Linked DNA regions of Bombyx mori. The protein of the gene in region 4 binds, or shares a complex with, the protein of the main gene of each other region. Links are inferred from orthologs where the notes say so. Each region holds a gene or a part of one and is shown on either strand. Other genes may lie near its edges.

Region 1 (3,531 bases), on a different chromosome or scaffold from region 4:
AATATAGTGTAGGCAGACAATTATAGATTTTGATTTTGTAGTGGATACCAGTTACTGGACATGGGCCTTCTGTACTTTTCAGTTAAAACTGGTCGCGTTCCTGTATAATTATCCTATAGCAAGGCTCTAAAAACAGTAATTTCTTGAAACTACTTGCACCCCACCTCTCACACTGTACGTAGGTACTCTAAATTAAATTATGGCTTGTTTTATTCTGAAGTTTTTAGGCATGAAATTTTATCCAAATGCATCCAGTAGTATTTGTGTGAAGTATTAACATCCAATATCAGTAAATTTTGCATGTCTAAGAATATAAAAATATGAAGTCATAAAGACAAAATGATATGTTCAAAATGGATATTTTGTTACATTAATATGAACATGGTCAAAATAAATATATCAATTTCCTGTCTACATTCTAAAGTTAAACATATCACAGCCTGTCTTACTGATAACGATGAAAGCTCCCAAATTGTTGGTAAAGAAATAAAACACTCAGATATCACAATATGAAATGTCACTTTAATTAGATAAACCTAGTTAAACAGTAAATGTGGCTCAATGTATTACAAATCAATGTTAAAGCAGGCCAGTCTAATTACCAACAAAATGAGCCACAGCAGTAAATAGGTATGGGAATGAAACTTAATCTATCGTCCTTCGATGTAGGTAGAGAGCTCAATTTCTTCAGGCAGCTCTGTAATGTTCACATCGAAACGATCTTGTACTTGGTTTAAGATCTTGGCATCATTTTCATCAGATATCATAGTAATGGCCAGACCTTTGGTACCAAACCTTCCTGCGCGGGCGACACGATGTAGATATGTATCTGAATCTTCAGGCATGTCATAGTTGAAGACAATATTTACCCTTTCAATGTCCATTCCCCGGCCAAACAAATTTGTTGCAACCAGGATCCTTTTTTGGAAGTCCTTGAACTGTTGATAGCGGGAGAGACGCTCATCCTGGGTCATATTTCTGTGGATACCAATGGCAGGGAAGTTTTGGTCGGTGAGCAGTTGTGCCAGAGCTATGCAGCGCTGTACTGATTTCACAAAAATAACCACCTGATTGAACTCCAATACATCAAGTAGTTCGAAGAGTTTTTTATTCTTCTCATTTTCTTTTAGTTTCACATAATGTTGCTGCAGTCCATGTAGCTTGAGTTTGGCTTCATCATCTACATAAACTTCCATTGGGTCTTGCATAAATTTCTTACACACAGGTCTGATTTCTTTACTCAATGTGGCTGAGAACATCATCACCTGTTTCCCGTGAGGAGTGTTCCGGAATATCTCCTGCACATCTCGCCTCATGTCTAGAGATTCCAGCATCTTATCACACTCATCAAGGATGAAGTGTTTTAAATGTTTCAAATTAAGTTTCTTACTGTTTACTAATGCCAAAATTCTACCGGGAGTTCCCACTACAATGTGAGGACATGCTGTCTTAAGGACTTCCTCGTCTTTCTGAATTGGCATACCACCAAAGAATACTGATACTCTGACTCCTGACATATATTTCGAGAAACGCTCGTACTCCTTACTTATTTGGAAAGCCAACTCTCTGGTGTGGCACATTACAAGCACGTAAACGTGGCTCTCGGAGGGTTCCAGCTGCTGCAATGTTGCCAAAACAAACACGGCTGTCTTACCCATACCGGACTTGGCTTGGCAAAGTATGTCCATACCGAGGACGGCTTGCGGAATGCATTCGTGTTGAACTTCGGAAGGATGCTCAAAACCGCAATCAACAATAGCGCGGAGTATCTCTGGCTTAAGTAAGAAGTCTCTAAAACCAGAACTGTGGATGGATACGTAGGATCCTTTAACCTCCTTCTTTGGCGCCACTTCGGTAGACCCGTCAGCAGTCTGTTGATCTGCTTGTTCTTCATCTTCGTAGTCGAGAAGATCGTCGTTGTCAGCCATGATTTACTTTAGTTTAATTAGCTTGTTTACTGTATCGTACTCACTGTGAGCACGTGAAATTTATTTTTACAATACGATTTCACAATAATGGCGGCTTCGGCTTTTTTGGCGTCAATCCAAACTTTTTTTGTTATGTTTGACAGTTAAATATGACGTGCCACTTGGCTTTTTCGCCACTCAACAGTTTACGAGAATTAAATTTGCAATTTGATTTTTGATTAATTTGAAATTTTATTTGTGTAAAGTAAAAAGAAGAACACAGGCGAACAGCTATAATGCAATCATAGTTTTTATTTTCACGTGAGCACGTGAATAATATGTCTTTTATATGATTTTTTTCATGTCATATTATTTTTTGAAATGACCCATTTTATGAGTATTTAAAAATGAAATACTTAGAGCAGTGATTATCAAACTTATTTCTTTTACCGCCCCCTTTGAATATCAATTATTTTTCAGCGCCCCCCATTTTTTATACACCCCTAAAACTTTAAAACCACAATTTCATTAATTTAATTAATAAATGTTGTATTAATTTTATTAAATGTAGTACCACGTAGTACATATATATTTGTAGATGCTATTATTGTTTCTTCATATTATTATATGTCCGTACATTGCTACAGAGCGTGTATTTACAAATTTGCAAAGTAAAAATGAATTCTTCTCATCAATATGTTTGTTTAAATTCAGAATTACCAAAATAAATTGCTAGTTCACTGTACTATTACTATGCTAATTTATTAGAACGAAACTATTTTTGTTGAATATCTTTCTCATTAATATAAGATTCTCATCATAAGATAATTAAAAATTTATATTTCGACTAGTAAATAATACTACTAACAATAATAACTTATTAAACTACGAATAAGCTAAACCTGGAAGACGTAGAGGATTTCATTTATCTGGGCTCCGTCATAGCTAGTAATGGAACCTCCGAAAAGGACCTCAGAAGGCGAATCAGTATGGCAAAGAGGGCTATGTTCCAAATGGACTGTGCTTGGGTGGCATTTTTTTCTACGGCGCAGAGACTTGGACCCTCAAGAAAGCCGACCGCCAACGCATCGACGCGTTTGAGATGTGGTGCTGGAGGAAAATGCTCGGGATTCGTTGGACAGAACACAGAACCAACGAATCCATTCTTACCGAGCTCAAGATTCCAATGCGCCTCCGCACTACATGCGCGCGGAGGAGTTTAGAGATCTTTGGACATATCGCCAGAAAGAGAGGTGAGAATCTGGAAAAGTTGCTGGTAACAGGCAAGGTATGCGGGAGAGGGCACAGAGGCAGAAATCCAATGCGCTGGTCGGACCAAATACGCTCCACTCTCAAAACTTCAGTCCACGTTGCTATCCATACAGCCGAGGACAGGCAGGAATGGCGCAAGATGATGCAGGAGAAAGTTATTAGAGGAGGCCGCGACCCTCAGCACTGAGGATTATCGACGCAAGAAGGAAGGAAACTACGAAAAACAAATTAATATCATTTCGTATTATAGATAAATATGGGTAATTTTTCATAGAATTTTAGTTTATAATTTAGAACTGGTTCAAATAAAAACCGCCACCTAAGTCAGCGTTTTTATTATTTGTAATAATTA
Region 2 (2,722 bases), on a different chromosome or scaffold from region 4:
AGACAATAAAGTTAAAGAAATAGGAGAAAATAGCTATGAAAGTGTGACATTTTGTTTTTTATTAGAATATATTCCAACTTCCCAGCTTCGAATAACTGCATGTCAAAAAGCCTATGACATATTGAAACCTGGAGGGTTGCTTACTGTTACCACACCGGATTCAAAACACGTTGGAGCAAATAGCAAAACAATGAAGTGCTGGCGTTATGCATTAGCCTTAATGGGTTTTTCAAGAATTCGTTATCAGAAATTTCAACACATGCATTGTATGGCATTTCGAAAGTGTTTATTGAAAGATGTAGCTATTCGCTGGGCTAATATTCATAAAGAACCTTTTATGGAATATGCACTACATATACCACAAGATTTTAATACTAATGAAATTAGTAAAAATTCTGCCCAAAACCAAGTCATCCATCACATAATTGATGATTTTCAAGAATTGCCATTCTATAACATGAACGAATGATTTAATATGTAATTAAAATGCTTAACAAATATTGACTTAGTAGAATGTTTTATTTATTTAAAACAATACTTATATACTAATCTTAATTTGTTAGAGTAGACTTTCCATTATCAGAAACATGTTCTATGCAACAGCACCAAATTTGGCTTTACGTTTTTCCAATTTCTCCTTTAGTTCAATATCTGTCATTATTTTGGAAACAGATTCACCAAACCTCTCTGCTCGCTTTCTAAGTTTTTCCATATTTTCGTTTAACGTCCCTGTACTAGTGAAGGTGTTCTGATTATCATTTTGATTAAACCTTTGTTTCCTGGCTTCCTTTCTCTCAGACTCGGACATTTTAATAGGCAAACCAAATCTTTTAGCACGCAACTCTAACCTTTTCTTTGGATCTAGATCAGTATTTATTTTAATGACATTATTACTTTCGGATGCCGTTTTCGGCTCTACAGATTTTTCATTAATTTGATCATCAACAGTTTTAGAACTGACAAGTGAAATTGATGAGGGTCTATTCAACACAATTTTCTTTGCACTAGCATTTTCTGCACTTTTATCTTTGGTTTCTGCGTTGGTTTTGCGTTTTAATGTTCGTGTTGATTTTGTTTCTACAGCGATTGTCGCAGTAGAAGACTGTTCCGAAAGAACTAAATCTTCGTTTAAAGTGTCCACGGCAGTATCATCAAGTACGTCTGTTTGGCTTTTAACTTCTTCGTCTTCAAAAACTCCGTCCGAGTCCATTTCGTCAAATTCAAAGTTGATGTCGGTGTGTTCATCTTGAGATATAATTGCAGCTTGTAGTCTAGCGATTAACTCTGCTTTGTCGCCGGCGTATGAAAGTCCACGTGATTTTAATTCTTTACGTAGTTCAACAACTTTCATCTTAGTCACATCGGAAACTGTTGAATCCGCCATAGTAATCAAAAGTAGTTTACGTTATTGAACAAGGAACTTTTAGAATGCTTACACGCGATGCTTAGCGTTAGCTTACACTAGAAATTAGAAATACGAAGTGTATAATCTATGTTCACTACTTTTTTTAAGAGATTTTATGACCTGGTAACTAACACTTTTAGGTCATGTCCTACTTTAATATTTAATATTCTTAATTTTATGAAAAATTATATGGAGTAAAATGAAATTAAGTGAAGATGATTAATTTGAGACATTAATCAACCAGAATGAAATTAAATTAAATAAGATGAGATGATATGAGATGAAATAAATCTTAGTCAAATATTTACGGAGATTTTATCAGTTGACTTTTTGGAGGATCCCGAGAAGTTACGTCCAGCGGCTTTATTTCATTTTCCCACATTTTTGCACTTTCACAGATATTAAACAGTTAATAAACCACCGTTATTACACATAACGGCCATCTGGTGTAGTGGTAAGTGACATGGTCACTACACAAGGGGGTCGCGGGTTCGAATCCCGCCAAGGGAAGATATTTGTATGATAAATATAAATGTCTTTTCCAGGGTTATGGATGTATATTAAATATATGTATGCGTATAATAAAAATCTTACATTTAAATCCGTTATCTGGTACCTGTAACACAAGTTCTTTACGAACTTATCACGGGACCAGTTAACGTGGCGTGATTGTTAGTAAATATTTATTTATTATTATTTATTATTTAAACCTGAAGAAACACTAAATAGACAAAATTAATCAAATCACACAACTTCACTCCTCGCGTTCCCGCCAAAAAGTCAGTTAGATTACAACGTAAAATGGAGCATAGATTACACGCTTAATTAAAATAGCTGCGAAATTTACACAACAACGTAAGTACCTGACAGACTAAAAGAGGGTAGAAGTTTAAACAGCACAATCTCTGAAAAAATGTGTGGAAAAGTGATTAAATGACTTTTTTACCGGGAACCCGGCATTGTGTGAATTGATTAATTTTATTTAATTTAGAATTTCATTTCGTCATGCTTAAACGTGTTATTACGGCAGCTTAAATTCCGATCCGGTGATAGATTCTGCGAAACACTCCTCTTGCTAGAGCTAGTATTAACAAACTTTCTCAGATTGAGCAGGTTGTAAGTTCACCCATCCGCGAGAACCTGGAATAGGTAGGGAAAACATTTATGTAATTAATAAGTACAAAATCTCTAAAAAATGTTCCAATTATACGCCGTATTTCTAATCAAGTGATATTAAGAGTGTTCATGTCGTAACTACGTTCATGCTTTGAAATTAGAAAAAACTTGAGTCTATCCAAATGATCGGAAATCGGAATA
Region 3 (3,246 bases), on a different chromosome or scaffold from region 4:
AAAGGATCTACCAGGCAAAGCCTAGCTAAACTATCCTAATCCTAAACCTAGGACTTTAACCTACATCTAAACCTAATCCTAAACCTAAGAATCCTCGCAACGAAAAAGATCGGACCATACCTCTGGGAATGTCGCCCAGAGGATCCCGTGATCCGCCACCCACGGACGCGCCTGGTGGAAGTCCAGCATCTCCCCCGCAGACGAGACCCACAGCACGCAATCATTGCGGGCTGAAGGTCCCGTCCAGATCGCGGGCCCCTACGTAACCTGATTCAACCCCAAAGCCAAGGTGAATGGGGTCAAGCTATTTTTTTCAGTTTTTGTGTATTTTTGTAGTGAACAATGTATAGTAACGCATTGTATATAAATATTTAAGCCTCCAGAACCATTATGATCTCCGTTTTATTACTAAAACAAAAAAAAACTATACAAATCAATGTCGAACTTAAAAAGTGTCCCAATTCTCCCCATTTTACAGTACTGAAAATGTAAACAAAAAATCAAGTAGAAAATTCATACTTTATTAGAAATCTCACATAGAGAAATAATCTTATACTCTAATACATCACTCATTATTATGATTCATTTGATATTTCTTTCATATCAACATCATCACAAATAGTCTCTGCATCATCTAGTTCATCTAATAATGCTTGTAATTGATGTATTGAAGTTACAAGCACATGAAATTGTTTCTTTCGTAATGCTAACCGACTTTCCAATTGCTGTTTGGTGGTTTCCAAGTTTGCTAGTTCAGTCTTCAGAGTGCTCAATCTCTCAGAGGTTTCCTTACGATCAGGCTGTTCACTGATAACCTTAGCCAAGACATCATATTCTATTCTGTTTTTTCTGACAGTCTTTGCTTGTGCTAAATCTGTTTTGCTCTTCTGTATGTTCTCTTTGGCCACCTCTATTCCGCTTTCTAGAATTTTCGAGAGTGCTTCGTAGCTTTTTAATTCAGCAGCCATCATTTCAGAACCGAGTTGCGATTTTGTGACAGCAAATTCGCATTGTGCCAGTTGAGCTAACATACGATCATGAGTAGCTTTACTAAAACGAGAAATCTTAATCGTATTACATATTCTGGAACTACAAAAACTTACATTTTGACTGCAGATTTTTATTCTCATAATAAAACAACAAATGTATATGGGGAATAAATGAAAAGGTTAATGAACACTTAATTGAATATTAAGGCTCTTTATTATAGATAAACAGATGCCAACATTTCCCTGCTGGTATTAAATGCTTACCAGAACCTTTGGGACACGAGATAGAAGTTTCAATTGAATTTACAATGGCAATTCTACCCTTCAAATTGGAAGCTATGATCAATGCGGAAGCTATGATAATTCGGAAGTGGAACAGTGTTTACGCATGTGAGCTCACAATACGTCCTAATACGGTACTATTTATTAAAACCAACCTTTCTTCCGGTTTGTCATCCGTTGTATTGCACCATTTTATCAAAGTTTTTAAAAGTACATTCAGTCTCCTGTCGTCTCCAGTACCGTCACCGTCGATCAGAAGTCTTCTACGAATCACATCTTCTGGAAATAACCAATGAGTATTGAAATAGTATTTGTTTTTGAGTAGTTTTGTATTCTTAGGTAAAGTTATTTACCGTCACCCATTATGTTTGGAGTAAAATTCAAATGAAATTATGATCTCGTCCGAGTTTGCCTTATAAATTGTTAGGTAATGTTTTTATTCTACAAAATAATCTTATCATAAGCGAATTCAAATTTATCCTTGTTCTTTATATGTAAGTGCTAACTTGTGTGTTTTATTTACAAAAATCAAGAAAAATTAAAAATATTTTATCTCCAAATTTTGGCAGGTTAAATTATTAATAAAAAAAAAGTTTTTTTTATCCAACTCATAGGCAAAGGAGACATTCTCATAAGTTAAAAATGCTCTTCTTTTTATCTAAATATTTTACGACAAAGCCTGAAATCATATCTGTTGCATAAAAAATGAAATGATATAAATAAGACGATAACTATTTTTATATTTAAAGATGAAGAAAACTAAACTAAATAAAACATTCACACAGTATTACAACTTTACTATTTCACATTCCTGTCAAAATTGATTGAAACAAAATTGCTGACCGTGGTTTCTTGAGATCTCAAAATTTAATTGAACGCTGATTAAATTCTTAAGATTTTAAGAACACAAAGCTTAACCTTTTTATTTTAATTAAAAGATTTTGATCGGCTATTTTCCCTTTGCTCATTCAATGGACGAAAGAAAACCACAGACTATTATGAGATGCCTGCCAAACAAGAAAAAAAAACAGATGTCACAACCACAATTCACATGTTGTTTTGCCTTTCGAATTTCGATCCATTGTTCAGGAAATGATGAATAACTGCTATATTAAACCCTTTAAACTATTGAATCTATTTTAACAGTAAATTAGCTGAGTAAACTTTCGGAATATCTTTCACTGAAACAATGGAAACGTCAAGTTTCAGTGATAAAGTCGAGATTTATTTCTCGGAACTTGGGCGATGGCTAGTATCAATAAATAAATAAATAAAATATTTTTTGGGTAAACGTCCTTAAACTAACTAAGTGTGCATTTTCAGGAAAGTGTGGAGGAGCATACTGCTTGGTCAAGTGTTATCCTTATTTCTGAGCGGCAAATGTATATTAACAACAATGTTACAAAGCGCAACCTGGCAGTTTCCTATCACGGGGCAGCTGGTCGTGCCGTATTTAGTACTGTTTGTACTCTTTACCCCGAGCCTACTTTGTACCGGGCTGGAGAAGCTAACGAAGTAAGTTCCAATTCAATTTTAAGACATGAAAAATATCGTCTTTTAAACCAGTTCTATTATTGAAAGAAGTATAAGACAAGACTAAAATAATTAAACTTACTAGGTACTATTACTATCTTATGTTCAATGGTGAGTGCGCTAAGTTTTCTTAATATCTTCTTACTACAAATGTGGAAGTAACCAATATTTAAATCTAACTATAAAATGTTACATTTATCGAGATAATTTTCTCTTATTCTTTTGCTTTGGGATAACTTCCCGCTCTACTCTTTTTATTAGTCAGCAAAATAAAGTATAAAAACATTTCTTAATTCAAGCTAGTATCAGCTGTGACATGTTGGAAAGCTCTGTGCATTCTGTTGTGTGTTTTGCTTTTTTCTTTATTAATACAAGAAATGGAATGGTAGCTGGCCTAATTAACCTTTAAATTTTCAATGTTCAATTCAAAGATGACTGTCTG
Region 4 (4,025 bases):
AGGGGGTTTATGCATTAACTGTTATAAGGTATTCGTATTACGGTTAGCAACTTAATATCAACCTGATTCAAGTCCAATTTTTATAGCCTTAAATTTGATAGTCTCTTTAAAATAATGTGATCATTAGTTTCAGAAATTTATACTTACTTGTTTTTATTATATCATCATGAGATACTAAATCATCCAATCTTTTTGGGCGATATTTTTCAACCCTGCGTAAAAACAAAGTGTTAATCGTCGTAGTAAAATATATTGAGTTATGATTTTTTTGTTTAAATCATTGTTAATGATAGTTCATACCATGGCAAATTTTGGCCTGTTTCCCCAACAGTCATATTGTTTTTATAACAGTATTTTTAAATCGCTTCTAGTATGTAAGTACAGATACTTTAATAAAAACGATTTATTTAAATTGTGGATTGGTTTACAAGCTTGAGGAAACTATAAAATTCAAAATTCGAACCATAGATAGTAGTAGCAGTTTTATTCATAGATTATACACTTAATATATTATTGGAAAGGCAAAGGTATCATACCATAAAGCGTAATCTTTTATATATTTTTTATATGTAAAATGATTTATGAAATGAAATGAAGTTGATTAATATGAAACATAACATGAAATGAAATGAAATGAAAATGAAATGGAATGAAATGAAATGAGATGAGATGATATGGGATGAAATATAATCTCAGTAAAATGGTAGTCATTTACTGAGACTTTTTCAGTGGACTTTTTAGAGGATCCCAAAAAGTTATGCTCAGCGGCTTTGTTTCAATTTTCCCACATTTGTGCACTTTCACAGATATTAAACAGGTTATAAACCACCGTTATTACACATTTAAACTTGGAGAAACACTAAATAGACAAAATAAAACAAAACACACAACTTCACTCCTCGCGCCAAAAATCTCGAACCATAAATAATACACTTCTTAATATTTGAATTTTGAGTGCATTAGCATTACGTGATTTGATTACCTAGTTAAAGATTAAAACTAAGCGCTTAATTTTTTAAACAGAAAGATTTGACCAAATCAACTGGTAAATGTAAAATAAAATAAACTAAGACAGATGTGTAAGATAGTCTTTATTGACTATAATTTCTACCAAATTTAAAGCTCAACAATTTTTTTCAATCTACTGTTGAACTAATATTAGCAATCTGGCAATAACGAATCTTTTCTTCGGCCATTTTGTCACCGTCTACTTGGGAAGGAAGAGTTCTAAAAGGATTGTTTTTGTTTTTGACTTAATTTTCATAGAAAAAATATTTAGAATTTCAAATAATCACCATGGTTGATCAAATTGAAATGGCACTGGATGATATTATAAAAGCCAACAAAAAGACAAGGATTGGAGGTGGTGCTGGAAGAAAATTTGATGCAAACAAAAGAACAGGACGTGGAGGCGGTGCTGGATTTCGTAGCAACCGCTCTGGTGGTGTACAACGAGGTAGAAATCGTGGAGGCATAACGAAATCTACCAACTATTCGAGGGTAATTCCAATAATTAGATGATTCTAAAATTACAAATGGCGGGCAAATGTGACGCATCAATGTATCTAATTTGTTCTCAAAAAGTCAAGCAACCATATGGACCATCTTGTTGAAATAGTTTTAGACGAAATTTGACACTTTGATTCAAATCAAGACCCTTATTTTATTCGTATCCGACCTATTTTCAACTTGAAACCATAATCCCAGCAACCATATTGTTATCTCCATCAACGTTTTTGTTTTGCATTGTTTACCTACATCTGCCGGAAAATTCTATGATGGATGCTGATATAAAAGTGTAATGAATTCGAGCAAAACGTTACTTTTGTGGAGATGTCTACAGTGCAGTTTTGACCAATTTATAGAATTGACTTCAGGAGTTGAAAAGTAAATAAATGGACTCCATGGACGGCTGAGACTGGTTGTGCTTCATAACTTATTAGTCTTGTGTCTGTGTGATGAAAGTGATAAAACAGTTCTATATTTTAATTTTCGAAAAAAAACATGTAAACTACATCAAATGTTATTTTATCAAGTGGTTCAGATGTCAATGTATTAATTTTAGTGCCTAAGCTTTGAGTTTTTATTATATTCAAAGGAGGCATAGAGAGTAGCCACATGGCTAGCTCTATGAAGGATGACCTTTTCAGGGTGATGTGAACAGCACTTGGAAACATGATATGTTCAATGATTTTGGTGAGAGGAAACTTCAAAGAAACAGTGGGACCATAACAACTGGTCCTACCAAGCTGCTTGTATCCAATTTGGACTTTGGAGTATCAGATTCAGATATAAAGGAACTATTTTCGGAATTTGGCATCCTCAAAAGTGCATCTGTACATTATGATCGGTCAGGTAGATCTTTAGGTATGTATCACAAAGCATAAAAACTTAGTTTGTTCCATTAAGTATTTCATCATACAAGATATTTTTAAATTTTTTTAGGTACTGCAGATGTTGTGTTTGAAAGAAAAGCAGATGCTGTGAAGGCTATGAAACAGTATAACGGAGTGCCACTTGATGGACGGGCAATGAATATACAATTGGCAACATCTGAAATCAATACTTTAAGGCCCGAGGCTAGAAATCGAATTGGTGGTGCGAGTGTGGGAGGTACTATACGAAACAATCCTAAAAGAGGTAAGATATTTTCCAGGATTTGTTTGTATGGGAGGAGTGATAACAAATTACATCATTGTGATTTGTGACAAATCACCATATACAAGATGGCCTCTTAGTCGAATCAATCTGGAAACACCTAGTTATTGTCGGAAAGATACTTCAATAAGGCCATTGGTCATGATAATCGCCATATTGTTGCTGCCGCTGACTATTTCTACCCACAGCAGAGACTAACTGTTGATGTCCTAGACACATAATTACGGATCCATCAGATCCAATAACTCTTGCATTAGACACCTGCTTTAACACTAACCATACTCATTGAACTCTAAAGAGTTTGATGTGCAACCTAATCCATAGACAGACTACTGATCTGGTAGTAGATTCATTTGCAAAGCAGCTGCCCATGAATTGTGTTAGACCTCTTTCGGAGGTGTTCAACTGTTAGCAAACCCTTCTCTTCTGGCTAAGCATTCGTGGTGTAACTGGAAAGGCCTCCGGCCCTAAATCCTTCATTTAAAAAAACATTATTAAAATTAATTACTTTTTTTAAAACTGATATTTTCCCACTAGTTCTTGTTGTACATTTTCACTTTACTGTTTGCAAGTTACAAATTACTAGAAATCCATTAATTATTTTATTTTTGAAGGAGGTGGAGGAATTAGAAATCAAAGCAATAGTGGAGCACGTGGGGGAAACAGAAGAGGACGTGGTGGTGCAGGCAGAGGCAAACGACCAGTACCTACTGCAGAACAATTAGATGCAGAGCTTGATGCATATGTGAAAGAAATCAAGTGAATAACTAATGAGAATGTGCATAGACACTCAGTTTTATCTTAAAATATGAATGAATAAGCTTTGTGTTCTCAATGTTCTAGATTAATTGTAAAAGTATAGGTTATACTAATAAAAGACTACGAATTATAAAGAAATTATAATTCTAGTACATGTATTAAATTGGATAAATAAACCCAGATTTGAAATTTTCTTGTATAGATTTCTTTTTAGTCTGTAGTTGTGTACACAAGTGTAAACATTTTTAAGGAGGTTATCGTAATTCAACTGTATTACAGTGAATGCATCTGCATTCGGCATCTGCCGATTTGGAAACTGCCTAGATCTTAAGCGTATCACTGCTCCACCTCCAAACATCACTACCTGTGTAGGTTAAAAATTATACGTAGCTACTGGTGATGTTATTCGTTCAATGTGGAAGTCTGTCAAAAACAATGAGAAATACTTTTTCAAAAAATTTTCATGGTCATTACACTCAATTTCAGCACATCAACAGTCATATTTAAAGCTACGGCAACATCAAAGTTCATTTATAAAAGGAGTTGTCGTACCCCCTTACAGGGGCACGGAACGGGCCTCGGGCAAACCCCACTGCTTGGACAGAAGC
Region 5 (2,525 bases), on a different chromosome or scaffold from region 4:
GAAGAGAGAGCGAAATACTCGCTTCACCGCTCCGATTTTTTATTACCCAAACTGCACGGACAAAATAATTCTACTATAGTTTGCTTAAAAAACCATTTGAGCTCATTTCAGAATAAAACCGTCCCTCATTAAACTCGATATAGAACCATAGTAGTGTACAAACTTATAATTTGACTTAATTATAGTCAAATTTCGACTACCGGGGGACCATTAGTTTAAAAAAATTTTTAGTTTAATCTTTTATTACATCGTCTCAAACTTTTTCGTCTGTGTGTTGCATGTCGCGTGACGGTCGGCCGCGGAGTAGGGATAAAGTGAAAGGCGCTCGTCAGAGCAGCCAAGGCCAATATGGCGGCGCCTATAGTTCGCAGCAGCTGACCGTGTAGTGTATAGACTGTTACTCATTTGTGCCAGTGCTCCACGCTATTTTGTTTTTGTTTTTGTCACTGTCTAATGTAAATGTTTCACTTTTACCGTGGTTTCATAAAACCACACAATCCTTTTTAGTATTTTAGTTTATTTTGTATATTACATTTCCAACACTAAGAACTAGAGAGTCCCCACAGTTTGAGATTCCCCAAATCCCGTTTCCTCTCGGGCGGCTCCTTGTCCTCGCAGGCGAAGGCCAGCAGGTAGCGCGCGGGATGCCACGACACCGTGAACGTGGACGCGGACACCGGGATCTCTGCTACTTTCTCCCCTGAAACAGGTTAACAGGGGGTTACTGGTGGTAGGACCTCTTGTGAGTCCACGCGGTTAGGTACCACTACAAAAAAGTCCTGATCCTTCATCGAGGCTCTTAACCTCAATCATAAGGCTTACTGCTTCACTCTGGGAGCTGTTCGTGTGAAGACTCTTTAGGCAATCGAAGCTCCGCATTCACCTCCTCAAATTGTTCCCACCCTGATAAGGATTGCGGCTTCGAAGGCAACGCTGCTGCAAAGTCCTCTTGATACGATCTTAGATCTGACTGGGGCGTTGGCATTTTGAGTCCTTCAGTCACTTAGTCTGGCTAACCTTGCCAATTATTATGCACTTTTCTTTATAGCTGTACTTCGGCGCGCTGCCTGGACAAAGTAGATTGGGGGGGGGGGGGCTCGATAGGGCTGGCACTGTTTAGCTGTTAAGTAGGCACTTACCTAAAGGTAATTAACTTTTTAATATCTTTAATACGAAACTCTGATGACTAATTTAATATAAAATAAAAGTCCTTTTCAATTCAACAAATTTAAATCTCAGCATTTTGACAACCCAAATTTGTTTCTATTCTATCCCTAGTCTAATTTTCCCTCTAATTTTCGGTACTGGAGTCCCGTACAGTCACAAACAAAATTGTGAAGTCAAGTTAGTAACTGTGGATCGTTACCGCTGACCGTAAATGAATATAAAATAGACGAACCTGTCTCCGTGTCTCCGATGTCGATGATGTGGTCCTCGCTCGCGGACGCCAGCAGCCTGCCGTCGAAGCTAAACGACAGCGTCCGGACCGGCCACTCCAACCTGCAACATTGCACACCAGATGTTCTAATTGCACGGGTAGGTCCGCACGGGTAGGTACCACCACCCTGCCTATTTCTGCCGTGAAGCAGTAATGCGTTTCGGTTTGAAGGATGGGGCAGCTGATGTACTGTAAAGACAGGTCTTAGAACTCATGTCTCGAAGTGGGTAGCGACGTTTACATTGTAGATGTCTAAGAGGTCCGGTAAACACTCAACACCAGGTGGGCCGTCAGCTCGTCCACCCATTTAATTGCAACAATATTAAATTTCCCTGTGTGGCTGGTATTTGTAATTGAGAAAGAATGAAACACTGCCTTTTCCCAGGATAATTACTTTTAACACTCTCTTGTGAATACAGTATAATTGCACAGCAACGGTTGCTATGTTTCCATGTTAAATGAATAATGTATTCTGGGTACCATTTAGGTAATATCCACCGTTCATCCTTCATCGCAAATTTCCAACTTCCAAGTCCATTTCCAAGTCTATTTATTAGTATCAGAGGTCTCAGTATTTTACTCTTCATCTTCACGTAATATTAAAAATACAAGTTTGTCTGTTTGTTTGCATTTCGCAGACTGTTGGAGCTTGGTCAATAGCCCGCACTAGTGAAATTAGTTTACATTTTGGCATAATATTGTGTATATTTGATATCTTTTACAGCACATTCAATGAACTAGAACAAAAAAAAATACCTGGAGAAAACTCTTAAGCAGGCCAGTTCATTGACATCCCATAGTGAGACCAGAGCATCGGCTGACCCAGTAGCAAAGTATCTACCGGTTGGGTCGTGCTCGATGCAGATACACGTACCAGGATGCGCCTTCAGTACTGTCTGCAATTCTAGAGATGGATAACTGGAGAGAAATATTAATTTTCGTTATTTTACTAAACTCTCACCATACATACTTTGGCGACTCACTTATCCGCCACTACATTGACACATACCACTACTTGGGCAACCGCCTTATAATTTCGACCAAATTGCTGTCACTTGTGATTTTAGGCCACATCCGCTATTGTTGT
Region 6 (3,961 bases), on a different chromosome or scaffold from region 4:
TCGTTCTTTTGGCCACAAATTAAAACGAAATTCCTTCGACCAGTTCGACCTCTGAACGAATGCGTTGTTAATTGCGTTTTGTTTCGACCCAGTCGAAAAAATGTTTAGATCTCAAATTAATCTTGTAAAGCACAGTTAACAATTTCAACAGTTAAATTATAGAATCATATAATACATGTATTTTTAAAATTTGTAGCCGCATTATATCTTTTGCTGGTTACGCTCTAAAACTTTCTTTTTTTAACGTTTCTTCTTTCGCGTTTTGTATCACGTTTTTTTTACTTTGTGTATAATCTATAGCCGTTTTATTTCTTTTCCATTTTAGATTGTTACCTGTGACTCTTGAAACCACAGACTATCTACAAATCAACATTATTAATTTATTTTAGTAAGGGGTTTCGTCAGTAGCTATGAGCCCCCGCGTCGTCGCCTTTCAGTACTATAAACAATCACATTATTTTCGGATGAGTTCTTACCATCACTCCGGTTATCGCGGCTTAAGAATACATGAATAAATAATAATTAAAAAAAACTAAAATACACGTTTTTATAGAAAATCGTGAGATGCGCGGCGTCAATAGTTTAAATATTTTATTGACAGAAATTGCTAGCTAAGTCTTATCATTTTGATAATCTCATAAAAAGCATCCCACGCTTTTTTTTAAATAAATTTATTGTGATGTGTGGGAAGTAACGTTGTTGCACACTACATTATTTTCCATTTTTTAGTTGGATTTTCTATAAAAACATGTATTTTAGTTTTTTTAAACTATTATGTATTTTTCATTTTTTAGTTTACTTATTATCTATCATAAATTATTCTTTAATGTGCATTCAGGCAAATAAAACAGTTTCCAAATTTTCTAAGTGAAGAAAAGAAGGCGCAAAAATTAATTTGTTGTTTTGACTGCCGAAATTAAATAACGAGTCTACTGTTTAAAATATTGAATTATCATCGGTCCTTAATACCTAAGTATGCCAAATTTCAAGTTAATCTGACATTTTGAAGGTGGTCAAAATCATATTCAAAGATTCCGTTACATACCTACATAGGTATGGAGCTAATAAAAGCGTAATAATCACTTAATAGTCTATGGATCTTATGTATGAAATGTATTATCTATCTTATGGAATTAAATTCATTATCTATGGTGTTATCTATGGTTATGGACACAGTTTCTTAAGTTTCCCTTTAGTAATTTAGAAATTCAGATTCTAAGAGATTTTCACCTATCGTATAACTTGTTATTTTAAAAACTTAGAAGCGAACTAGATTCGAAAAATGACATCGTCTGAAGTATCGTCCAATAGAAAAATATTGTCGGAAGATTTGTCGAATGTTGAGTTCGACACGAGTGAAGATGTCGAAGTTATTCCCACTTTTGACTCCATGGGACTTCGAGATGAGTTATTGCGAGGAATATACACATATGGTTAGTACAAATTGTGGTGTTATTTATAATTATTACAACTGCCTACATAAACGATCATGTGGGCATTATCTTACCAGCTTTAGACCGTATTATGGTCGTCCGTCTGTCAGACTGTCGTCCTGTTTTTTCGCAACAGTTCTGCGTTCCGGCTTCGAAGAGTGACATACTAATTTACAATACATTTAAAATCAATCGCACTGTTAAACCTTGGGGGCTGGTAGATTCCGTATTGTGGTGTATGTGGGGTCCGGTAACCACTTAGTAATAACTAACGTTAATTTACAGGTTTCGAAAAACCTTCAGCAATTCAGCAGAGAAGCATCTTGCCTATAGTCAAAGGCAGAGATGTAATAGCTCAAGCACAATCTGGTACAGGAAAGACTGCGACATTCTCAATTTCAATACTACAGACTTTAGACACGACTCTGCGTGAAACTCAAGTACTTATTCTTTCACCGACCCGTGAACTGGCTACTCAGATTCAGAAAGTGATATTAGCTCTTGGAGATTTCATGAACGTTCAATGTCATGCTTGTATTGGAGGTACCAATCTTGGAGAAGATATAAGGAAATTGGATTACGGACAGCATGTTGTGTCTGGCACACCTGGCAGAGTTTTTGGTAAATAAATGAAAATTGCTAATCCAAGTAAATAAGTACTAATTGTTTTAGTTTCCAAAACCAAAGATAAACCTTCTGTGATCTTTTTTGTTATCTGGCTGGTTCACCTTTTTTATTTCTTGAAAGTAGTAACTTAACTTCCACTTCTCAAATTCACCAACAGTACTACTCACTACAGTAGTCTCACCACAAACCCATGTGTATGGTTTCAGGCATCTCAGAACAGGGATGGTGTCTATAAATTGTCATCCTTGTGCAATAATTGAAAAAGTTAAATAATCTATCCACTGCAAGATGTAGGGTGCCCTAGATTATAAGAAAACAATCTTATTTTCAGATATGATCAGAAGGCGTGTGTTGAGAACCCGGTCAATAAAGATGCTGGTTCTTGATGAGGCTGATGAGATGTTGAACAAAGGTTTCAAAGAGCAAATTTATGATGTATACCGCTATCTGCCTCCTGCAACTCAGGTTGTGCTAATATCAGCAACACTACCCCATGAGATATTGGAAATGACATCAAAGTTTATGACTGATCCAATAAGGATATTAGTAAAACGGTTTGTATGATTATTTCAAAAATACACATTAAAGTTCGAATTCTGCAGGCAAGTACTAATTTTTCTAATGAAATACGTACTTCACAATTGTTCACGATTAACTTCCATAGTGAAGGAATAACATCTTATAATAAAAATCAAACATGTAAAATTATAATTTGCGTAATTACTGGTGGTAGGTGGTAGGAATGTCTTGTAAGTCCGCACGGGTAGGTACCACGATCCTGTCTATTTTTGCTGGGACGCAGTAATGTGTTTTGGTTTGAACGGTGGGTCAGCTGTTGTACTGTAAAATGCGAGACACTAGAACTCATGTCATTTTATTTTTTTAGTGTCCTTGTAGGCAGACTAGCATACCACCCACCTGATGGTGAGTGGTGACAATCGCCCATGGAATTCAGTACAGCAAAGCTGTTCTAGGTGTCTATGGACTCTGGTAACCACTTAACACCATTAACACCGTGGGCCTTGAACTCATCCACCCACTAAGTTAAATGAAATATTTGTTTTATATTGCCCTTGAAGGAATTTGTCCACCTGATAGTGAGTGATTACTGCCGCCTATGGACACTAGTGACGCTAAGGGTTATTTGCCTGATATCTCATTTGAATAAAATTATGTCACAGTACTCAGGAAACACTAGAGGAGATTTAGATTAAGAAAAGAAGTTACATTAAGTGTAGAAAACTATCTGTTTTATTTTAGCATTATCAACTATACTATTTCTAGGATGAAGCTTATTTCTGTATGGACTATCATTTTGTTAATTGCTCAACACATAAACCTATGCAAGCTAAATAGTAATTAAGTAAACAAATTTTCTATCATGGTAAATGTATTTGAAATTAAGAATCATTTTTTCTACAGTGATGAGTTGACACTGGAGGGTATCAAACAGTTCTTCGTGGCAGTTGAACGAGAAGAATGGAAGTTTGACACACTTTGTGACCTCTATGATACACTGACAATTACCCAAGCAGTAATATTTTGTAATACAAAGAGGAAGGTTGACTGGCTCACACAGAAGATGCAAGAGGCAAACTTCACTGTCAGTTCAATGCATGGTGACATGCCACAGAAAGAGAGAGACAACATTATGAAGGAATTTCGTTCTGGTCAAAGGTAATGGAAATTCTATTAAAATAAAAACAATACGATCTTGAAGACTTTTAGTTTTCAAGATCTAAATGTGAATGGTTTCGAATTTCGTGAACTAATATCACTAGTGATTTAATATGAAAAATACAATTGCTCTTTTTTTTTTAATGTAAACGAGATATGGATCACCTTTACAGACAGCATTTATGTAATAATGCCTCTGGGCTTTTGTTGAGTGTTGGATGGGC
Region 7 (4,220 bases), on a different chromosome or scaffold from region 4:
AAGCAATTAAAAAAGATACATACGAAGTTTAAGATGTATACAGTGGATATCTTTAAACGAGCAATTCTTGTATATTAATATATATGTATATAATTTGAATCTCGGAAACGGCTCCAACGATTTTCATATAACTTAGTATACAGGGGATTTCGGGGACGATAAATCGATCTAGCTACGATTTATTTTGAGAAAATGTTGTTTTATTCGTGTTTTCAAAAATTAACTCTTCCTGACATCTATTGGCGAATAATAATACTATTTTTCTTAATTGAGGGCAACTAACCGCTTTAAAGACACAACAAGATGGCGTTATCAAAAAAAACCGGTCATCATTCAGTATGTATAAAGTGGATACCAAAGCACAGTAAGTCTTATATTAATCAGTAGCACTAAGTACTTACAGCGGCTTGTTTATAAGTCTCGTACTCAACTAGAGCGTAGCCTTTGAGGAAGCCTGTGCGTCGGTCCAGATTCAGATGAATATTCTTTATCTCACCAAACTCGGAAAATTGATTCTGTCAACAAAACAAACTAATATTGTTTCCACTGATCGAATCACCGATCCTTATAAAAAAAGGGTGCGTGTACTTATGTACGCGCGTAAGAAGTTATACTTTATTTTTATTAATTTTTATTTTTTTTTAGATGTTAAATAAATATATTTAATGTTAATAATTTAATAATATTTAGTATGAATTATATTAAAAAATAATTTTGTCATTTATATTAGTAAAAAATAAATGCTAATCACACTTTTTTTTACGAGTGAACATGCGCGAAAGTTCACCTGCGGCTATATTCAGACTCTCCAAGTTACGGCGGTCGTATTTTAATGAGCGATTTAGTGGGCAACTTCATTTCTGTTAAATTTGTGTCACGGTGCGCGTGCATCGTAAAATTTCACTCTCATCAATTTTTCACAACGCGCCTAAAGAACTTCAATAAAATTTGTAATAGTGGTCTGCATATATTCTATGAAAAACTTGACATATTTTTATTAAAAAAAAAGGATTTGTATTACATACTTATTCTATTGGTCATATAATAATTTAATCTTATTGGCAATGTAGTAATGTAGGCAGCGGCTTGGCTCTGTCCCTGGCGCATTGCTGACGTCGATAAGCGACGCTGACCACTTACCATCAGGTGGGCCATATGCTCGTCTACTGCTCGCATGTTGCCTAGAAAGGCAATAAAAAAAACCTATAGTCCTATTAAATTATTATATTATTATTGATCAATACTATTCCACAGATTTACACTAATGTTTCAAAGTGGCTACATTCACATTTTTATGAATATGTCAATGTCCCTATTGATGCGTGTCTATTTACCAACAAATACATTGACATGACAAAATATCTTTTCTTTGACTTAACCTATTTCACATTTCACATTAATTAAATAGGAATATACCTTTTAATCTTTCACATTGTTTTTTTGTAATTATAACCATTTCAAATTAAGGTGTGTCTCAAACAGTAGCTACAAGTAGATACAAAGTGGAAATTTTATCTTCTAAATATAAATAAAAGAAGTTTTAATTGCCTGTATATCTTCTTCTTGTGCTTCTTCATGTACATTACTGACAAACAGGATCCAGCCTTCAACTGATCTCTGAGGTCCTGGTGTACCGCTATCGCCTTCCGGAGCTAAACTGTCGTATCTGCAACAAAACAATACAAAGTTTTGGCCACTGTTGGACATGTTAAGCCTGGTTCGGTTGTGGGTTTTTCCAGAGTGGAAACAGAGCTTCTGTTGATTAGCAAGAAATATTATTATTCAGTACAATGGAAAATGACAAAATCTGTGTATTACCTTCCGCGGTTACCCCGTTCTGCAGCACTGCCTCCACCGGCTTCGTTGCCAAAACCACGACCTTTTCGCTTACGTGCCTTCTCCTTAAGTCTAGCGATTCCCTCTGTAACATTTTTAAATACTGTAATTTTACACTAAATTTTTTTTTTATTGTTGGGTGCATGATCTCACAGCCCACCTGTTGTTTAGTGGTTACTGGAGCCCATAGACATCCACAATGTAAATGCGCCATCCACCTTGAGATATAAGTTCTAAGGTCTCAAGTATACAACGGCTGCCCGGCTGCTACGGCAGAAATAGGCAGGGTGGTGGTACCCACCCGCGCGGACTCACAAGAGCTCCTACCACCAGTATATTATGTGTTATTTTTGGAAATCAACAACATTACAATTTTTAGTTTACTTTAAGCTTAATTTAGTGCAAGAATAATTATAAAACACGTAAGAATCACCAATGTAATGTCCTAAAGCACGAAATATGAAAAAATGGGGAACAAGCAATCTATATGTTAGATTTATATGTCTTAACAAGTCTGGTGTGCATCATTTTGTATGTGTGCATTTAAATTAAACCCAGTGGTGAAAGTTTAACGTCGACCGGCGATAATAACATTACAAATGTAAAAAAAATTCAGTCGGAAATTATAACCTTAATTGAGACAACATTTCCCGTTTTATGTCCACACATAATTGCTTGTTTAAGCTACGAGCAGACTTTACAGATAATGAATAGGAAACAAAATTTGATTAAAATATTTTTAATAATATCAATTGTTCCACTTACGTTCACCATCTTCGTCGACTTCAAATTCTTCTGAATTTTCGATATCTAGCACGTCAGCCATGTTTTATAGTAGATTTACGTTATGAGAAGTAGTAAATAATTTAAATAAAATGTAATTAATAAAGATGTATTTATCTAGAGACCATATGAGTTTAAAAAATCAAAAAGTTACACAAATTAATCTTGAAAACTCCGCATCAAACACGACCACCATAGATTATTCCATAGATTATACACTTATTATATTTGAGAGATTATTCATAGATAAGACATGTATACGACAATCACATTTTTAAAGGACTTTATGACCTGGTAACTAAGACTTTTAGGTCAAGACTTATTTTAATTTTAATGAAAACTTTTTTTATATGAAATATGGCAGGAAATTAAATTGAATGGAAATTAAAACGAAATGAAATGAAAGGAGATGAGATGATATGGGATGAAATATAATCTCAGGAAAATGGTGGACATTTAGTGAGACTTTTTCAGTGCACTTTTTGGAAGATCCCGAGAAATTACGTTCGGCGGCTTTGTTTCATTTTCACACATTTGTGCACTTACACAGTTACTAAACAGATAATAAACCACCGTTATTACGCCTTTAAACTCGAAGAAGCACTAAATAGACAAAACAAAACAGATCACAAAACTTCATTCCTCGCGTTCCCGTCAAAAAGTCCCACAACAATCGTACATCAACGTCAAAAATAGATAATATACATAATAGAAGTGTATTGTATAGAACTGTATTTTAAATGGCATTAAGTCCGCCTTTATACTGTCAAGTTTATAAAGTTATGGCGAAGCTGAAATTTAATAGCCTCTCAAGGCTATCAGAATAAGTAGGAAAAAATAAAAAAATAGCACAAATAGATATCTACTTCAAAAAAAATGTCAATTTTTTTTTTCATAAATATGATTAAAAAACCACCAAAAAAAGGGAAGGATTGCCAAAAAAATTATGTTATATGTATACATTTATTAATCATCATACAAATTTCCTCGAATAATATGAAACTGTTCTCTCTCTCTCTCTCTTCGATCGGTTCCTCACTGCTGAGGATCGTGACTCCGTCCGATTTCGTCAACCAACTGTCTCCATCGATCCCGCCCTGCAGCCCGGTGGAGTGCGTCGCTGATAGGTATCCCCAGTTCCTCCGCTATTTGTTACTTAATTATTATATATATTTATCACTTTCACTTCTTTTAAGTACAATGCAATTTTCAATGATATTCGAAAATCATAAAATATGATTAAATTATTTCAAATATGAAAAGAACTTCTAACTTTTGATCTTTCTTTTTAATTCTTTAGTTGAAATAAATGCGATTTTTAAAATTTTAATATACTCTTTAAGCTTGTGAATTTTTTATCATCTGAAAATAAAAAAGAATAGAGTAATCAAATAAATAATAATCAATGTCAAACTAACTTTCAGAGTTTCAGTCTATTAGCATACATTGAAATGAAATTAGTAGTAAAATCATGAGTGACTGTAATTTATTAGAAAACGATGTGGATGAAAAATTGATAATAACGAAAAAAACTAAAAGTTCTCTTTTCTCAGAATGGAAATTCAAATCATCCATTCCGACCCCGCGTTCTTCGCCTCCAC

What was found.
Region 1: ALY (region 4) and ATP-dependent RNA helicase WM6 share a complex: the UniProt entries of both Homo sapiens proteins name them as parts of the transcription/export (TREX) complex. The link is inferred for Bombyx mori from reciprocal best matches to the Homo sapiens genes ALYREF and DDX39B.
Region 2: ALY (region 4) and SAP domain-containing ribonucleoprotein share a complex: the UniProt entries of both Homo sapiens proteins name them as parts of the transcription/export (TREX) complex. The link is inferred for Bombyx mori from reciprocal best matches to the Homo sapiens genes ALYREF and SARNP.
Region 3: ALY (region 4) and THO complex subunit 7 homolog share a complex: the UniProt entries of both Homo sapiens proteins name them as parts of the transcription/export (TREX) complex. The link is inferred for Bombyx mori from reciprocal best matches to the Homo sapiens genes ALYREF and THOC7.
Region 5: ALY (region 4) and THO complex subunit 3 share a complex: the UniProt entries of both Homo sapiens proteins name them as parts of the transcription/export (TREX) complex. The link is inferred for Bombyx mori from reciprocal best matches to the Homo sapiens genes ALYREF and THOC3.
Region 6: ALY (region 4) and eIF4AIII share a complex: the UniProt entries of both Homo sapiens proteins name them as parts of the ALYREF/THOC4-EJC-RNA complex. The link is inferred for Bombyx mori from reciprocal best matches to the Homo sapiens genes ALYREF and EIF4A3.
Region 7: ALY (region 4) and Y14 share a complex: the UniProt entries of both Homo sapiens proteins name them as parts of the ALYREF/THOC4-EJC-RNA complex. The link is inferred for Bombyx mori from reciprocal best matches to the Homo sapiens genes ALYREF and RBM8A.

Annotation. Positions count from the first base shown.
Region 1 is NC_085122.1:1,018,084-1,021,614, reverse strand, and holds ATP-dependent RNA helicase WM6, read right to left. Parts: upstream 2,321-3,531; 5' UTR 1,929-2,320; coding exon 651-1,928; 3' UTR 501-650; downstream 1-500. UniProt on the Homo sapiens protein: Involved in nuclear export of spliced and unspliced mRNA. Component of the TREX complex which is thought to couple mRNA transcription, processing and nuclear export, and specifically associates with spliced mRNA and not with unspliced pre-mRNA.
Region 2 is NC_085113.1:6,731,076-6,733,797, reverse strand, and holds SAP domain-containing ribonucleoprotein, read right to left. Parts: upstream 1,385-2,722; coding exon 593-1,384; 3' UTR 501-592; downstream 1-500. Other genes in the region: S-adenosylmethionine sensor upstream of mTORC1, read left to right, coding at 1-469. UniProt on the Homo sapiens protein: Binds both single-stranded and double-stranded DNA with higher affinity for the single-stranded form. Specifically binds to scaffold/matrix attachment region DNA. Also binds single-stranded RNA. Enhances RNA unwinding activity of DDX39A.
Region 3 is NC_085129.1:4,007,871-4,011,116, reverse strand, and holds THO complex subunit 7 homolog, read right to left. Parts: upstream 2,098-3,246; 5' UTR 1,635-2,097; coding exon 1,625-1,634; intron 1,551-1,624; coding exon 1,427-1,550; intron 1,051-1,426; coding exon 576-1,050; 3' UTR 501-575; downstream 1-500. UniProt on the Homo sapiens protein: Component of the THO subcomplex of the TREX complex which is thought to couple mRNA transcription, processing and nuclear export, and which specifically associates with spliced mRNA and not with unspliced pre-mRNA.
Region 4 is NC_085114.1:10,512,187-10,516,211, reverse strand, and holds ALY, read left to right. Parts: upstream 1-1,239; 5' UTR 1,240-1,296; coding exon 1,297-1,500; intron 1,501-2,150; coding exon 2,151-2,367; intron 2,368-2,445; coding exon 2,446-2,640; intron 2,641-3,272; coding exon 3,273-3,421; 3' UTR 3,422-3,525; downstream 3,526-4,025. Other genes in the region: replication factor C (activator 1) 5, read right to left, coding at 148-212, 301-335. UniProt on the Homo sapiens protein: Functions as an mRNA export adapter; component of the transcription/export (TREX) complex which is thought to couple mRNA transcription, processing and nuclear export, and specifically associates with spliced mRNA and not with unspliced pre-mRNA.
Region 5 is NC_085132.1:2,069,957-2,072,481, reverse strand, and holds the end of THO complex subunit 3, read right to left. Parts: intron 2,357-2,525; coding exon 2,195-2,356; intron 1,501-2,194; coding exon 1,400-1,500; intron 701-1,399; coding exon 543-700; 3' UTR 501-542; downstream 1-500. UniProt on the Homo sapiens protein: Component of the THO subcomplex of the TREX complex which is thought to couple mRNA transcription, processing and nuclear export, and which specifically associates with spliced mRNA and not with unspliced pre-mRNA.
Region 6 is NC_085131.1:3,885,623-3,889,583, forward strand, and holds the start of eIF4AIII (eukaryotic initiation factor 4A-III), read left to right. Parts: upstream 1-1,161; 5' UTR 1,162-1,282; coding exon 1,283-1,433; intron 1,434-1,718; coding exon 1,719-2,054; intron 2,055-2,391; coding exon 2,392-2,614; intron 2,615-3,482; coding exon 3,483-3,737; intron 3,738-3,961. UniProt on the Homo sapiens protein: ATP-dependent RNA helicase. Involved in pre-mRNA splicing as component of the spliceosome. Core component of the splicing-dependent multiprotein exon junction complex (EJC) deposited at splice junctions on mRNAs.
Region 7 is NC_085108.1:4,111,901-4,116,120, forward strand, and holds the start of Y14 (RNA binding motif protein Y14), read right to left. Parts: upstream 2,801-4,220; 5' UTR 2,663-2,800; coding exon 2,602-2,662; intron 1,922-2,601; coding exon 1,819-1,921; intron 1,667-1,818; coding exon 1,549-1,666; intron 516-1,548; coding exon 402-515; intron 1-401. Other genes in the region: uncharacterized protein LOC101745843, read left to right, coding at 4,091-4,220.